Linked DNA regions of Drosophila melanogaster. Changing the gene in region 2 together with the main gene of any one other region gives a genetic interaction. Each region holds a gene or a part of one and is shown on either strand. Other genes may lie near its edges. The genes, in order: Atg8a, Atg4a and Dcp-1.

Region 1 (5,931 bases), on a different chromosome or scaffold from region 2:
AAATACTAACTACCAAAAATATATCGCAATTTAATCGTACTTATTGTGTGGAGCTGTCCCTTTTTAGCACATGCTCTCCTTATGGCTGACTTGAGATATTGCTTTGCAGCACTTGATGGTGTGACCAGCTGTGTTTTGATGACAGTGCTGCCCATAAAAACGTTTGTGGGCGGCAATTTTGAATGGCTAGCAAAGTGCCTTTGCTGCGATAAGATAAGCAAACAATAAACAAAGTGATTTCTTTTCAATTTAATTTGCACACTTAAACTTTTGCGTTGCGAATGGTATCATAAGTACTACCTTTTACGCCTTCAATTTAAAATAAATAAATGCTTTTGTTACTAATAGCAAAGAATAAAAAAAAACACCCACTCATTGCTAAAGCTCATTTCATTTTTAAAAGATAAGGACTCATTGTTCGGTGAACAAAAGAAAAAGCAGTATAAAATAACTTCTTCCTGTCACTTATCGCTGAATCATCTAAGCGTGATATACGTGATTGCAAACTGAAAACGAAGAACAATCCAAATAAACAAACACCCTTTGCATGTGTATTTTTGTGGTTTTTGTTTATTTAATAATAGATTAATTACCGTACACTTAACCGAGAGAGTCCTATTCGTAACCATACACACTAAATATGCACAGAATTTTGTTGCATCGTGAATAAAAAAAAAAATAGTGAATTCATTGAAATATTAGCAAAGTAACAAAGTAAAGTACAAAGCATTCGCACGGATCAATTACAGCAATGGAAATTAAATGGCCCAGAAAGGGTGTGAATAGATCTGTTTTTTGTGGGGAAAGTTGGTTGGTTGGTTGTTTCGTTAATGGGTAGGACACAAAGCAGAGTTTAATTGAAATACTAACGCGTTTGGAAAATGTATATATATAAAATAATGTTCACATAACAATTGTTTTTGTAGTTTTCGGTTTTTGTGGATTTTTTTTGTTGCCCTGCGTATCAGATCAATTTCAAGTTCTTTTCATGTGGCATTTCCTGCGGTTTTCCTCAATTCGTTTAGCTAACTCGCCGTCCATATTGTAAGCTTGCATGCTAAACACAAAATATATTTTATTTATATATAGATTTCTGTATAGGGGGGGGGCTTCATTCCGATGCATCCCGACCGGAGCAAAGTTAGTTAATTTTGGCCATGCCGTAAACATTCTCATCGGAGTAGGCAATGTACAGGAAATAGTCCTCCTCGTGATGTTCCTATAAAAATACATCGAACGTATGTGATTCGATTGCAAGGCTAATAATAATGGGCATTGTGGTAATTACCTGGTACAGGGAGCCCATGGTAGCCGATGTTGGTGGAATGACGTTGTTCACAAAGAAGAAGAGGGCATCCTCGGGACGCAGGTGGATGCGCTTGCGAATGAGGAAGTAGAACTGACCGACGGTCAGGTCGGAAGGCACCAGGTACTTCTTCTTGTCCAAATCACCGATGCGCGCCTTGGGAGCCTTCTCGACGATGACCTTTGGGTTTAAATAGAAGAAGAAATACAGGAGGTGAGTTGTTGTTGCGGGCTACTTGTGCATGTTAATGTGCGCACATTTCGCACCTGATTACGTGCCCAATAAGGCTCACATATTTGGCTACAAATGGCATTTGCATTGCTGGAAGCAAGTGTGCTCGAATACGTGCTACCTTGGAATATGATAATGCCGAAAACATAAACTATAGTCTTATGAATTCTGATGCTTGCTATCTAGTGTACAAAATACCTTAATATTAATTGAAAACTAATTTGTTTACGAACAACTATACCTGATTGTTATTGGCCTGACTCATATTATATTTAGACAGGAAAATGAGTAATTTCGTAATTTCAGTCAGTAATTTCGTAATGCATTTTGGAATTTCGTAAGTTGGAATGTGTAATTACACACACGTGTGTTTTTGTTCACATATTATTTTTAAGCCAAATTCAATGCATTTTTCAAGGGGTATATGTTTTGTAATATAATTAAGATTTCTAGCACCTGTTTACATTCAAGTTCACCTGTATCATCTGTTTTTTTTTGTTCATTATGCAAAAACACATACACATTTTACAGCATTTTAGCCAAATTGATCACCAAGACGACCAAGTTGGTCATTGAAGTGAGCTTTGTAACGAATCTACTGCATTTCCTTGGCTCTGGAATAATTGCTAGCTGGCCTAGACTAGACGATCCGTTCTAGCCAGGGGCTCATTAGTTAGCCTTAGCCAAATTATTGGCAAACTGGTTTGTCCAATTTTTTTTTTTTGGAACAGGAAGCGGGTGCCAACATAGTGAATACGAAATGGGCAAAAACTGCTTGTCGCGAATGCCACCCCTCTATACACTAGTGTTCTATCGAAATTCGTTATCGTCATTGGCCGAACTCAAGGCACAAGTATGAGATGTGCTAGTACGTATGTATGTACTAAGTATATTCTATAGAATTCGGATATATATGGATATGCTGGTGGTCCGAGCGACCAGCTGGCCTTGCCCCTCGCTCAGCTGTTATGTGATTTGTGATTTGGCACTGCTGCACTTGCCAAAAAAAAAAAACACTAAAATAACACTGGCAATAATATTTCGGGGGTGCATATATAGCGCACATATGTACATATTTGTACATATATACATATGCATATGCAGTCCGAATCAAAATCGAAAACAAGAACTGCACTTTTCGCTGCGATTGGGGCACCTTCAGCAGTTTGTCGTTTCGTTTCGTTTGGTTTTGTTTTGGTTTTTGTGAAAGGAGTTTTCGCTGATAACGTGGTGAAATGCATACATACATAGCAGAAAAACAACAAAGAAGAAGCAGAAGATGTTTTTGTTTTTTTCAACCTTTCTGTTTTCCATTTTTTTTATTATTTTTGTTTTGTGTTCAGCAGCGCATCTATGACTAATTCCAGTCGCACTTTGTGTATTTGCGAAAAACAAAACAAGCAGCGCTAGTATAAGTGTGTATTAGTGAGTATTAGTGACTTTTTTTATGCGCAGTACTCGCTCGTTTTGCCAACAAACAAACGAAATTAAAATCGAAAACAACTGGTTGGTGCACACACAGAAAAAAAACGGGGTGGTCAAAACTTTGCTTGTAACTAAATTATGATGACAGATAGATATATGCGATTTTCTTGCTGTGTAGCCAGAGGGTGGGATAGAGGAGAGGAAGAGGTGGCACAGATGAAATCTAGCACTGAAAACAACAACATCACAACAGCTGAGCAAGTGAAACGGCTGCTTTGTTCTCTCCCTTTTTTTGCTTTTGTTTTTTCCTGTCGACATCTGTGTGCCTGTGTGCGCGTGTATGCGTGCGTATGTGTGTATGCAGGGGGCAGAATTTTCGTTTGAATTTCTTTTGAGAGCTTGTCGCCTGTTCCCCCCACCAGTAATGCAAAATGCACTTTATGCAATACCCATCGCACAAATTTCCCCAGCCACCTGATGTGCCAGTGCAATAATATTGTAATAACAATCGAAATACCCAATATGCGCAGTATTGATTTTCTTCGGTGCAAACACAAAAAAAAAGAGCGAGAAAAAAAACGACGCAAAACAAACGCATACACAGAAGCTCGCACATACACACACACTCGCACGCATATATACACACACACACACGTCTCTTTATACCTATATGCATTTATATATATATTTTTGAGTACTTACGGGCACACGGTCTGGATATTTGCGACGGATCTTGTCGCCCTCGGCGCGACGCTTCTCGAAGGCGTGCTCCTCCTTGTATTGGAACTTCATGATTGCAATGAAGAGGTAATTGGCTAAGAAACGCAGCTTCTATCACTTCGTTTGCTTTTGGGACTGTGCCGAATATCGATGCGTTGCTGAGCTTGTGTTTTTCTCTTCTCTGTTTTCTCGTACAAACGGTACGAAATACTTGTGTAGAGTGACCGTGCGCAGCAGTTGACAGAGCGCTTCGGTCTAAAAATCGATGACTTGCTGGTTTTATCGATAAGCACTCGCACTGTGGTGACTGCACTCGCTAACTGCTGTGGCTAGACTGACCGTGTGTGACCAGTGAGCGCGCAGAGACACCAACCCGAAACGCGCTAATAGTGGTGGCATATTAGACAGACACCATTTGGTTCATGTATTCGCTAAATGTTATCGGATGCAACCATGTGGTTCATGTGCTCGCTAGCAGACGGCTGTCGATATGGTTGTTGTACGCGTTAAATGGTATACACACCTACGGTCACACTGCACATATAACAGTTTTTCGCCGCAATAGAAGAATCCCTATTGTGCCATCGATATTATCGATATCACTAACTGTCATCGATGGATTGACGCAGCAGGCGAGACGAAACGTTAATTGTCAACTGTTCCCTCTGGCTGCTTACACACATAAATACACATCGCACGGAAGAAAAACAAAAAAGAGAAGGATGAGCAGCCAGGGACACCATAAGATGTCCGGCGGCGGCAAGAAGGGCGCCATGGAGCAGGACTACACCGACGTGGTCGATCTGGGCGATCGCTTCTCAGCGGACATGGCGCGCCTCTGCATGAACGAACAGTACGCGGACGTGGAGTTCATCGTCGAGGAGGAGCGCATACCCGCCCACCGCGTCATACTCGCGGCACGCAGCGAATACTTCCGGGCGCTGCTGTACGGCGGCATGGCGGAGACCACACAGCGCCAAATACCGCTTGAGGTGCCGCTGGAAGCGTTCAAGGTGCTGCTGCGCTACATTTACTCGGGCACACTGCTGCTGTCCACATTGGACGAGGATTCCACCATCGATGTGCTGGGCATGGCCAATCAGTATGGTTTCCAGGATCTGGAGATGGCCATATCGAATTATTTACGCCAGTATCTGGCCTTGGACAATGTCTGCATGATTCTTGATGCGGCGCGTCTATACAATCTAGAGGAACTCACCGAGGTTTGCCTAATGTTCATGGATCGCAATGCCGGCGACCTGCTGCTGCACAACAGCTTCAATACGCTATCCAAGGTAAGTTCACAACCAATTGGTAAAGTTGGCACTAAGAGTATGTAATGCTTACAGGAATCGCTGGAGGAGGTACTACGGCGTGACTGCTTCTTCGCCCCCGAGGTGCAGATCTTTTTGGCCGTGTGGAAGTGGAGCCGCTTCAATAGCAACGTGGACTTCAAGTCCGTGGTTAGTTATGTCCGCCTGCCACTGATGAACCTCGAGCATCTGCTGCAGGTGGTGCGTCCCTCGGGCATCCTGGATCCCGACAAGATTCTCGACGCCATCGACGAGCGCAGCACTTCAAAGGCGCTGCCCTACAGGGCGGCGCTCTGGCCGGAGGAAAACGTGGCCGCGGAGACGTTTTTGTCGCGCTGCATCCAGGGAGAGTGTCGCGACGCGCTGCTGGATGGAGATGTGACCACCTATGACATGGAGAACGGGTATACGCGCCACTGCATTACGGACAGCAAAGATGCGGGCATTGTGGTCGAATTGGGCACGTTCTGCATGATCAATCACATTCGCATGCTGCTCTGGGACAGAGACAGCCGGGCGTACTCCTACTACGTTGAGGTGTCCGGCGACCAGCAGCATTGGGATCGCGTGGTCGACTACAGCGACTACCACTGCCGCTCCTGGCAATACTTATACTTCGAAGCACGACCCGTCAGATTCATTCGACTGGTGGGCACCCAGAACACTGTAAACCGGGTAAGTCAGCAGTGATCTCTTCAAACTTTCCCCATTCTTTAACTTTTTCCCTTTCCATTAATATATAGGTATTCCATGTTGTGGGTCTGGAAGCCATGCACACGGCCAAGGTGCCGCGTTTAGTTAACCATTTTGTGGCGCCCAAGACGAACGTGGCCACCGTAGAGATGAGCGCCATTGTGACGGACGGCGTGAGTCGCACCCGCAACGCGCTTATCAACGGCGATTATGTGCGCTACGACTGGGACTCGGGATATACTT
Region 2 (4,631 bases):
CAAGACGTTGATTCGGGTGATGAAGAAGAAGAGGAGGCGGATGAAGGCCTCGAGCTGGAAGTGGAAGACAAAACGCTACTCTTCCCACAATGGTTTCTGGACAAACTATATCCCGCGCACCTGCCCCGCAGCTTCGTGGACCTTATGCACCTGCGCAAGTACATCAACAACCCACAGATCGAGCACTTTCCCTTCCACGACTCCAATGAAGTGGCCTTACCCATCCTGAACTACGTGTTCGCTCTTCTCCATCACGTAGAGTGTGAGAAAATTGAGCTACCATTAGAAGTGGATATGGATATAGAGGGTTCGACAGTCCCCTATCTCACCTACCTCACCAGAGCTCTGCGAGTGACGAACGTGAGGTATTTCAAGATGCCCATTGAAAAGAAGCCTGCCTATCCGTTTGATCCTCTTTCGCCGGATGCTAGGCATTTAAGAGCTGTATTCGAAGACAATGCTCCCAATGCGGATACGGAGAAGTTGTTCAGCAAGCTCGACCAGTTGCCGGAGGACCTGAGGCTGTACTTTCTGGCCATTATCTACTGGTTACATCGCTCGGAGCACTGTGATTTGCTGCATCTTCACTCGCTGATCCTTAGTTTGGTTGTCCTACGAACCATAGATGTTACAATCCCTGCTGAACGAGAGGTGAAAACCTTCCTTAAAAGATTTGGCAAGACATTGAAAGCAGAGCGAGCAGTGAGGGATAAGGAAGCTGCCGAGGGAATTAAGCGCGGCATCAAACCTGCTCTGCTAGAGCTTTCTGTTCCAGATCGGATGGCTCATGTACCCAAATCGGACTGCTATTTAACTCAGGAACGCCTACTGCCGCACTTCCATATGCAGGAGATCTTCAAAAAGAAGTTTGACTTGTACTCCACCACGGTTATCCACGCATTTGCTGAATTTCAGGCTGTGGTTTACCAACTCAATGGGCTAAATTCTCTTTTGGATTTTCCACTTTTGAGTCCGAGGATGAACCAGCTTTATTGCGGCGCCTTTCTCTACAACATGTATGATGTACTGAGGAATCGTGCCGATGTCCGCTACCATGTTGAGAACTTCCTGCTGCCCGACTCCAAGTTGATGTTCGATTTCTATTGCTACTTGTACGACTGGTGCGCGGAGTTTATACCAACTTGGAAGCGATTGGAGGTGGATCCGACGGCGGCAAAGGCCCTGCAGAAGAAGCGATTGAAGAAGCAGCGTCAGGCGGCTAGGAAAGTGGAGCTAAGGGAGGCCATCGCGGATCCCAATGCGGAAATGGTCGAGGATGCCGATCCAGAAAACGACTTCTTCGATCTGAACAACAAATTCTGCGCACTCAAGGTAGCGTAGCTAGTTTGAAGTCCCGCACGTGCAATTTTGAAGTTTTTACATTGTTACAAATCTATACTTTGCGTAAAATAAGAAAAAAATTAAATATTTTTTAAAAAACTTCATTTTTGAATGCATTTCATTAACAGTTTGGAAAAATACTGTTATTTCCTATGTTATGGTCATGTTAAGTGCAAGGTTCGGTATTTTGGCAAAGTAAAATACCTTATCAGTTGCGGTCATACTAACAGCTACGTCACTGCGTTGTAATCAACAAAAAAGAAAAATAAATCAAACTAAACCAGCCGCAGACTGATCAAATGCTGGTTATCGCATAGTTTGTAATCAGCGCCCGTCACTGCCAACAACAAATGAAACCCCTGTGACCTCGGGCCAGAAGCAGGAGCATTGCCGTTGCTGCCAGCGAAAACACAGGCCAAAACAAAGGCCCACCCGAAAAACAGAACGTCATTCGAAGGCAATTATCGTATAGACGAGCAGCGGAGGCCCTGGTGTCCACCCCCTTCTCCTTCTGCCAGCGCACCGGGCAGTAGATGCTGGTTGGACTCAGCGACCAGCTAGCGCGGATCATGGAGAGCGTCTTCGAGGCGTACTTGGGCCCAGACAGCGTCCTCGCTAGTGCAGTTGGCCAGGCGGTGGGCAGCGGAGAGCCGGAGGACATTCCCCGAAGAAACACCGACGTCTGGGTCCTGGGAAAGAAGTACAACGCCATACAGGGTAAGATGAGACCTTATTTAATGCTGTCATATGGGTACAAATCTAGCATATTGGTCAGCATGAGTCATAAGGGGTTTCCCAAACCTTTTTTCGATTATCATCGATGGATACCAAACTGAAATCCATAATCAACACCCTATCCCTTTTCAGAGCTAGAGCTCATCCGACGGGACATTCAGTCGCGCCTGTGGTGCACATATCGCCATGGATTTTCGCCGTTGGGAGAAGTCCAGCTCACCACGGACAAGGGCTGGGGCTGCATGCTGCGCTGTGGTCAGATGGTTCTCGCCCAGGCCCTGATCGACTTACATTTGGGACGCGACTGGTTCTGGACGCCGGACTGCCGTGATGCCACCTACCTCAAGATCGTGAACCGTTTTGAAGACGTAAGGAATAGCTTCTACTCCATACACCAGATTGCCCAGATGGGAGAGTCCCAGAACAAAGCGGTCGGCGAGTGGCTGGGACCGAATACAGTAGCCCAGATTCTCAAGTAAGACCATTGGCCTAACATGGTGGATAAGTGGTATAATCAATTGCTGATTTCAGAAAACTAGTGCGCTTCGATGACTGGAGCTCCCTGGCGATTCACGTGGCCATGGATAGCACAGTGGTATTGGATGACGTATGTAAGTGTGGAAAATGGCCTAAATAGCCCGACTATTTGCCTAACAACATTGTCCACTTTGTAGATGCGTCGTGCCGAGAAGGAGGCTCGTGGAAGCCACTGCTGCTCATAATCCCCCTGCGCCTGGGCATCACAGACATTAACCCGCTTTACGTGCCTGCCTTAAAGCGCTGCCTTGAACTAGACAGCAGTTGTGGCATGATCGGAGGTCGACCAAACCAGGCTCTGTACTTCCTGGGCTATGTGGACGATGAGGTTCTCTACCTAGATCCTCATACCACGCAGAGAACGGGCGCCGTGGCACAGAAAACTGCTGCGGCAGAACAGGACTACGACGAGACCTACCATCAAAAGCATGCTGCTCGCCTGAACTTCTCCGCCATGGACCCCTCGCTGGCGGTTTGTTTCCTCTGCAAGACCAGTGATAGTTTCGAGTCCCTGTTAACCAAGTTGAAGGAGGAGGTGCTCAGCCTCTGCTCGCCTGCGCTCTTCGAGATCAGTCAAACCCGCGCGGTCGATTGGGACACCACGGAGGACATCGACTGGCCCACCATGCCGGACATCGATTGGCCTGCGGGCACCTCGGATTCGGACTCTTTTGCCATAGTTGGTAAGTTGGTTCTGTTGAAGCTGACCATTAAGACCATTATTTATAACTTCACAGCTTGTAATCTGAATCAACAGTCCGAAATTTCACTCCGATTTCACTCAATAAATTCACTCCATTTTCCAGAAGAGAGCGGCAGGGACAGCGACGCCGGCTGTAGCGGCGCCATTGGCAGCGGCAAAAAGCCCAGTGAGAGAGCCGTCATTTGAGAGGTCGCCGGCGGAGCGCCTGCGCCTGCGCCGCACCAGAGCAGATGAAGCCCAGCCAGGCGAAAGTGGAGCACCCAATGAGGAGAAAGAGAGTGGGCCGGGAGGTCGAGCCCCTGCGGATGCTGCGAATGCAATAAACTAAGGCTAAAGTGCATAATTAGACGAGTGGTTGAGATTTAGATTTTAGTATGTTTACGATTTGTACGAATGCGGTTCTTAGCGATTCATAATGCTGCTTTATTGTACGCGATTGACTCCACGGGAGACAATTTGGCAAAACACACACACACAGAGCGACACTTACGGACACATACCGCTTTTTGATGATCAATTAAACATTTTTATGCAACGTTGTACATTGAAGACTCGATGAGATCGAGGCAATCGCCTTAGCCCGGTGTGTATTTATATGTTTGTAATCGTAATATTCATTTTCCTTTCGTATATTCGTCTGTATATGCTCAAAAATGGACCAACAACTAAATACATAATACTTGGACTATATGTATATATCTATATATGTATATATATATGTATGTATGTATATATCAACTTTGCCATCCGCCTCTGGACTCAACGGCTGGACAAACTCAAGCTACACGAACCAAGGAACTTTCTCGAATGAGTAACCAGGATGAGGATGCAGGAATCTACGTTAACAACAAACACGCGGCTACGCAGCTGGCGAATTGACACTAATTGGGCTTGACCTTTGGCCTTCCGGGCTGATTCCCGCAGAAAGGCAAACTGGGATTTGCAGATCAGAGTATCCAACTGTCTCCTACTATCGGAAGATAATCCTTTCTATTCATATTCAAGCGACTTATGTTTCTTGCGCTTCGAATGCATTTAACTTTTGCAATTCATCCATCCTAATTCTCGATATTCTGGTTAAATTCTATGTTGTATTCACTATAAAATTTTCTAATCTCAATTTGTTGGTTCAAAATCAAGCACTGGATATTTAAAGCTGATCGAAACGGACTAGCCTCTAGTAGGAAAGGTTTTTGAGCTACTATTTGAGTTCCTTGAACCTTAGATTCCTTTCAAAAGCGACACACCCAGTTTGCCTTTCCTCTCGGGGAACTCAAAGACCCAGCGGAACCAGGAGAGTAATATGAACATTCAA
Region 3 (4,722 bases), on a different chromosome or scaffold from region 2:
CGACTGCGAGGCGTCTTGGCTAAGTTTCCCCGCTCCAAACTGCCCCGCTTCCCTTTCCCAGCCGAATGTCCTTGAAAAGTGCGACCAGGTTACAGCCCAATTAGTTGGCTAATCATTGGGCTTTCCCTTTTTCCTCTTGTGCAAAGAAAAATGAAAATTTCTGCGATTTGGGGCAACTGTACTGCGCCACACGCACACTAGTGCGTCAACAGCTGATCGCCCTGACAGCTGTCAGTTGTTTTTGGCGCTAAATTCAAATCGAGATCATATTTAAATGCATTAATAGTTCCTTCGATACTTATATTTACGCAAAAATCATCATTTGGTTAATTTTATTAATTTCCTAAATTATAAAATTAGGAAATAAATATAAAATTTAGGAAATTAATAAAATTAGAGTGAGAAAAATCTTAATTAATCACTCTTAATAATGCTAATTTGAATTCCACTAAAGTTTCGTACAATTTCACTGATTCAGCCAACCAAGTCTTCATTGTTATCTTTTATTTCCCATATCAACGTACTCAATCTGGCCCAGACAGCTCCTGTCTTCAAACAAAGTTGCTTAGATCGAAATTACCCATCTACGTTCAATTGGGGAGATACCTTGCTATGTTTTTAATTCATTTTTATTCATATCAAATATAAATGTTTGCGTGTACATAAAAGTATGTATGTATGTATAAATCTTCATTGTATTATCTTATCTCAAATTTGTGGGTTTTCTATTGGCAAGGTCTCGCTTATGCATACGGAAGTCATCTAGTGGGTAAATGGGTAACGAATTTCGTCAATGATAAGGCCGAAATGGGCATGGGAAAGGCAGGGGAATGAATGAAAGGGAGTCGGGTGCTTCAATATCCATCGGGATAATCGCACGCGTCAGCTAAAACTAAACTTGAAGTGAATTGGAATCCAACGTGAATGATTGCGGGCGATGGTTGTACAACCTCTGTTGAAAGTTCTTCTTCGAAGGGAGATCTCTTCCTAGCCAGCCTTATTGCCGTTCGGCTTGTCGCCGAAGCGCAGTATGCGCGTCAGCATGGAGGTGAGGCACGGTATTTGCTTCTGGCGATCCATCATCGGTGTGGCGGGCACGTTCGACTCAAAGTCTAGGGCTACGCGCTGGTTAACGAATGTAAGCAGGGTGAGCAGGTCGTACTTTTTGCCATTGGCGTTCAGCTCGCGGATCAGCGATTGCATGTACCAGGAGCCATTGTTGATGTTGCGCCAGGAGAAGTAGCCTAACAGGACGAGATTGCTAGTGAAATTCACTAAAATAGTTACCTAATCATATTCCTTACCCGGAATGGTCGAGTAGGAGAAGAGAAAGTCGGCGTGTATGGGTATCTTGTAGCTCGTCGAGGACTCCCCGTCCGTCTCGGTAACGCCCTTCTCCAGAGTGATGCCTCCGTCCAAGCGATCGCCCTGGCAGGCTTGGATGAAGAACAGCTTCGGCTTGCCCGCCAGCGAGGGGCAGAAGGTGGCAGTGAAGTAGTGCCAGATGTTGTCCAGCTTGTACTGCGTATCCTTGGCGTACAGGTAGCCGTGCTCCCCGTGCGAGAGTATGGCCACCGCAAGGCAGTCGTTGTCCGTGTGGTCCAACTCGGCGGCCTTCCCCACGTGCTTCAGGATGTCCCTCAACTTGCAGTCCTTGTGCACGGACACCGCGAATCCCAGGTTTTCAAAGGCCTTTTTCAGCTCTTGGGCATCGACATTTGTTCCGGTGCGGCTCTTCAGCGAGGGTATGTCGAAGAATTCGTGGTTGAAGATCAGCGCAACTCCGCGGTGCTTGTGACTCATGTTGTATTCGCTTGCATATCGTTCCACGGGCATTCGAGCCACAAACTTGTTGGCCGGCAAGGGGCTGGGGAAAAAGAAATCAGAATTATAATAGCCATTTGGGAAGCAGCATGATAAGATAAGGTAATCGGCGAAATAATCGATGATTGGGTATTTATTTATGTAATTATTTTCAAATATATTTGTGAATAAGACTAAATAGAACAATAGAATTAAAGTCAAGTGCTTTCAAACTTTGTGACTTCAGCCATTTTAACAACATTATAAAGACAGATTGACACATTGATTTTAAATGTTGGCAATAGACAGTATAAATAATATAAAAATAATAGATTGTGGAATGAAAATGGAATAAATAAAAAAAAAAGAGCTTTATATGCTGCATTTGAAACTAGGATATAGCAGTTATGCCAGTACTTGCATTGATAACAAAACACAGAAACATAAAGAGAGAGATGGGAGAGGGAGAGAGCGAGGCACATGGACTCACCTCGCTGCAGTTGCACCACCAACAACAAGAGACTCCGGCGTACAGCCCTTGGCATCGGTATTATCAGCCATTATAAAGCTGCCCCGATTTTCCGATCCATTTGGGCTGCGAATGCCTACTCCGTAGTTTCTGGTTACGCACTCGTCGGTCATCTTGCGCCCCTTTTCTTGCTTAAGTTCTTGTTTTGATTGTTTGCGTTTCTCCTTGTGTTTCCTCTTGCCTTTTGTTCGCTCCCTCCTGCTCCTCCCTCGCTCACGCGCTGCTCTTTCCTTCCTTTTCTCTCTCCGCAGTTGTTGCGCCCTTTTTGGTCTGATTCTTGTTTTATTCTGACACTGCTTCTGTTTTCTATTGCTCTGCGTTGGCCAAACTTTGCGCAGCGCAGCTGTTTTGCGCTTCTCAGCCAGCTTTTGTCGGCTTTCGATCGAGCGAATGTCCTTTTATGGCTCACAGTCGGACGTGTTTAATCAATCAATTAACGGAGGTTAAGCGTGCTCTGAGCGGCGAAAACAAACTGCGATTGCATGTAGTCGTGTGTATGCACTTGCCGCCAAGCGGCGATGGCCGCTCGTCGATAGCACTAATCATCGATTGGTGGCCATCGATTAATTTGTAGAGGGTGTTCTGGTCCTCGGCGCCTTTGTTTAAATTTAAACTCTAACATTATATTGTTCATTTTAAGGGAAAGAGACATTTATGGCGTTTAATTTATTATGTAGCGAAAAACATATAGGGGTGTTCCACGAATATTACCTTATTATTTGGCTTAAGCACGGACTTCCCCGAATAAATGTAGCTTCCTAGTCACTCACACATTTATCTAATCTAACATTAAAAACAGGTCTACGCCGGCGACGGAATGCCGGGGCACATCTGTCTGGAGTGCCGCCTCCTCTTCGAGCACTGCTACCGCTTCAAGCAGATGTGCAAGCGGGCGGAGACCCTCCTGCGCCAGTATCCGCTCACGGGTAACTGGCCATCGCCGCTGGAGAAGCCCCGTGCGCCCATGACGATGGTGGCTTCCAAGAAGTTGTTGGTCGTGCCAGCAAAGACAGCCGAGCCAAGCGAAACGCCCAAAAAGCTGCTGAACACAATGGCCAAATCCAGTAGTCAGGTGATCATCGAGGACGTCCAGGTGCTGGAGAGCGCCATGGTGACCCCCAGGACGGTAGCCGGTTCCTCTCCAGTGCCACGTCGTTCGCACGCCTATGAGCTGAAGGTGGATAACAACCAGGAGCTGTCCATGGACGATGTGCAGAGCATGCTGGAGGATATGGCCAGTGAGCTAGAGAAGGAGTTCCCCGATATCCCCCAGAAGGCATCACCCGTCAAGCCGAAGGTGCTGAACAAGTCCTCGATTAGGATCTTGAACAAGGGACCCGCCGCTCCGGTGGAACCGCGCCTGGCCACACCCAAAGTCAAGCGAGATGATAGTGGCAATGTGGCCATAGTGACAGAGGTTCTGGACTCGGATCTGCCATTGGACGATCAAGATGATCCGACCAAGAACGCCGAGAAGGTGGCCACCGATGTGTTCCCCTGTCCCGATTGCGAACGCTCCTTTCCGCTGCAGCAGCTGCTCGAGATCCATCGGCTGAATCACACTCGCTCGCGCAGCTTCCAGTGTCTCCTGTGCGAGAAGAGCTTCTTCTCCAAGTACGACCTGGCCAAGCACAACTTTGTGCACACCGGCGAGCGGCCATTCAAGTGCGCCATCTGCTCGAAAGCCTTCACACGGAAGGCATTGCTCCATCGCCACGAGCGCACCCACACGGACGTACCCAAGTTCATCTGCGTGTACTGCGAGAAGCCCTTCCTTTCGCGCCAGGAGATGGAGAAGCACGCCGAGCGACATCAGAAGAAGCGTCCGTTCCAATGCGGTGTCTGCACCAAGTCGTTTGCCTTCAAGCAGGGATTGGAGCGTCATGAGGTGGGTTGACAAGCATATTTGGGATTGCCCCGGCTAACGATTATGTCCACTTTCAGACAGTCCACTCCACCAATCTTCCCTTCCCCTGTCAGCATTGCGAGAGAAGCTTTTCCACCGCTTCCAAGCTGGCCCGCCACCTGGTTGCCCACGCCGGGAAGAGAGCCTATCCCTGCAAGTACTGCCACAAGTCCTACATGCTGTCGCATCATCTCTCGCGCCACCTGCGCACGCACACGCAGACTTCCGACGCCTCGTTCGTGTGCAGTGAGTGCAAGGTGTCGTACAGCAACTATAACGACCTACTGGATCATGCGCTCATTCATGCCACCGCCAGCCTGAAATGTCCCATGTGTCGCAAGCAGATCGAAGATATCGACAGTGTCGAGAGCCACATGGACCAGCACAAGCAGAGCGAGCGCCATGCCTGCGAGTTCTGTGACCACATCTTCTTGACGCAGAAATGCCTGCAGCGCCACATCGAGGACGATCATGTGGTGGAAAT

Evidence for each region.
Region 1: of Atg4a (region 2) and Atg8a, changing one suppresses a phenotype caused by changing the other (phenotypic suppression), as found in Drosophila melanogaster (one study listed by BioGRID).
Region 3: of Atg4a (region 2) and Dcp-1, changing one suppresses a phenotype caused by changing the other (phenotypic suppression), as found in Drosophila melanogaster (one study listed by BioGRID).

What each region holds. Positions count from the first base shown.
Region 1 is NC_004354.4:10,764,317-10,770,247, forward strand, and holds Atg8a (Autophagy-related 8a), read right to left. Parts: upstream 4,023-5,931; 5' UTR 3,755-4,022; coding exon 3,665-3,754; intron 2,991-3,664; exon of another isoform or gene 2,852-2,990; coding exon of another isoform or gene 2,837-2,851; intron 2,341-2,836; exon of another isoform or gene 2,062-2,340; coding exon of another isoform or gene 2,014-2,061; intron 1,487-2,013; coding exon 1,289-1,486; intron 1,220-1,288; coding exon 1,142-1,219; 3' UTR 562-1,141; downstream 1-561. Other genes in the region: BTBD9 (BTB (POZ) domain containing 9), read left to right, coding at 4,405-4,977, 5,032-5,670, 5,739-5,931.
Region 2 is NT_033779.5:1,079,370-1,084,000, forward strand, and holds Atg4a (Autophagy-related 4a), read left to right. Parts: upstream 1-1,541; 5' UTR 1,542-1,874; coding exon 1,875-2,058; intron 2,059-2,208; coding exon 2,209-2,551; intron 2,552-2,607; coding exon 2,608-2,687; intron 2,688-2,750; coding exon 2,751-3,296; intron 3,297-3,419; coding exon 3,420-3,502; 3' UTR 3,503-4,009; downstream 4,010-4,631. Other genes in the region: ast (asteroid), read left to right, coding at 1-1,341.
Region 3 is NT_033778.4:23,549,446-23,554,167, reverse strand, and holds Dcp-1 (death caspase-1), read right to left. Parts: upstream 2,856-4,722; 5' UTR 2,446-2,855; coding exon 2,294-2,445; intron 1,868-2,293; coding exon 1,305-1,867; intron 1,245-1,304; coding exon 988-1,244; 3' UTR 621-987; downstream 1-620. Other genes in the region: pita, read left to right, coding at 3,132-4,220, 4,277-4,722. UniProt on the Drosophila melanogaster protein: Involved in the activation cascade of caspases responsible for apoptosis execution. Proteolytically cleaves poly(ADP-ribose) polymerase (PARP). Loss of zygotic DCP-1 function causes larval lethality and melanotic tumors.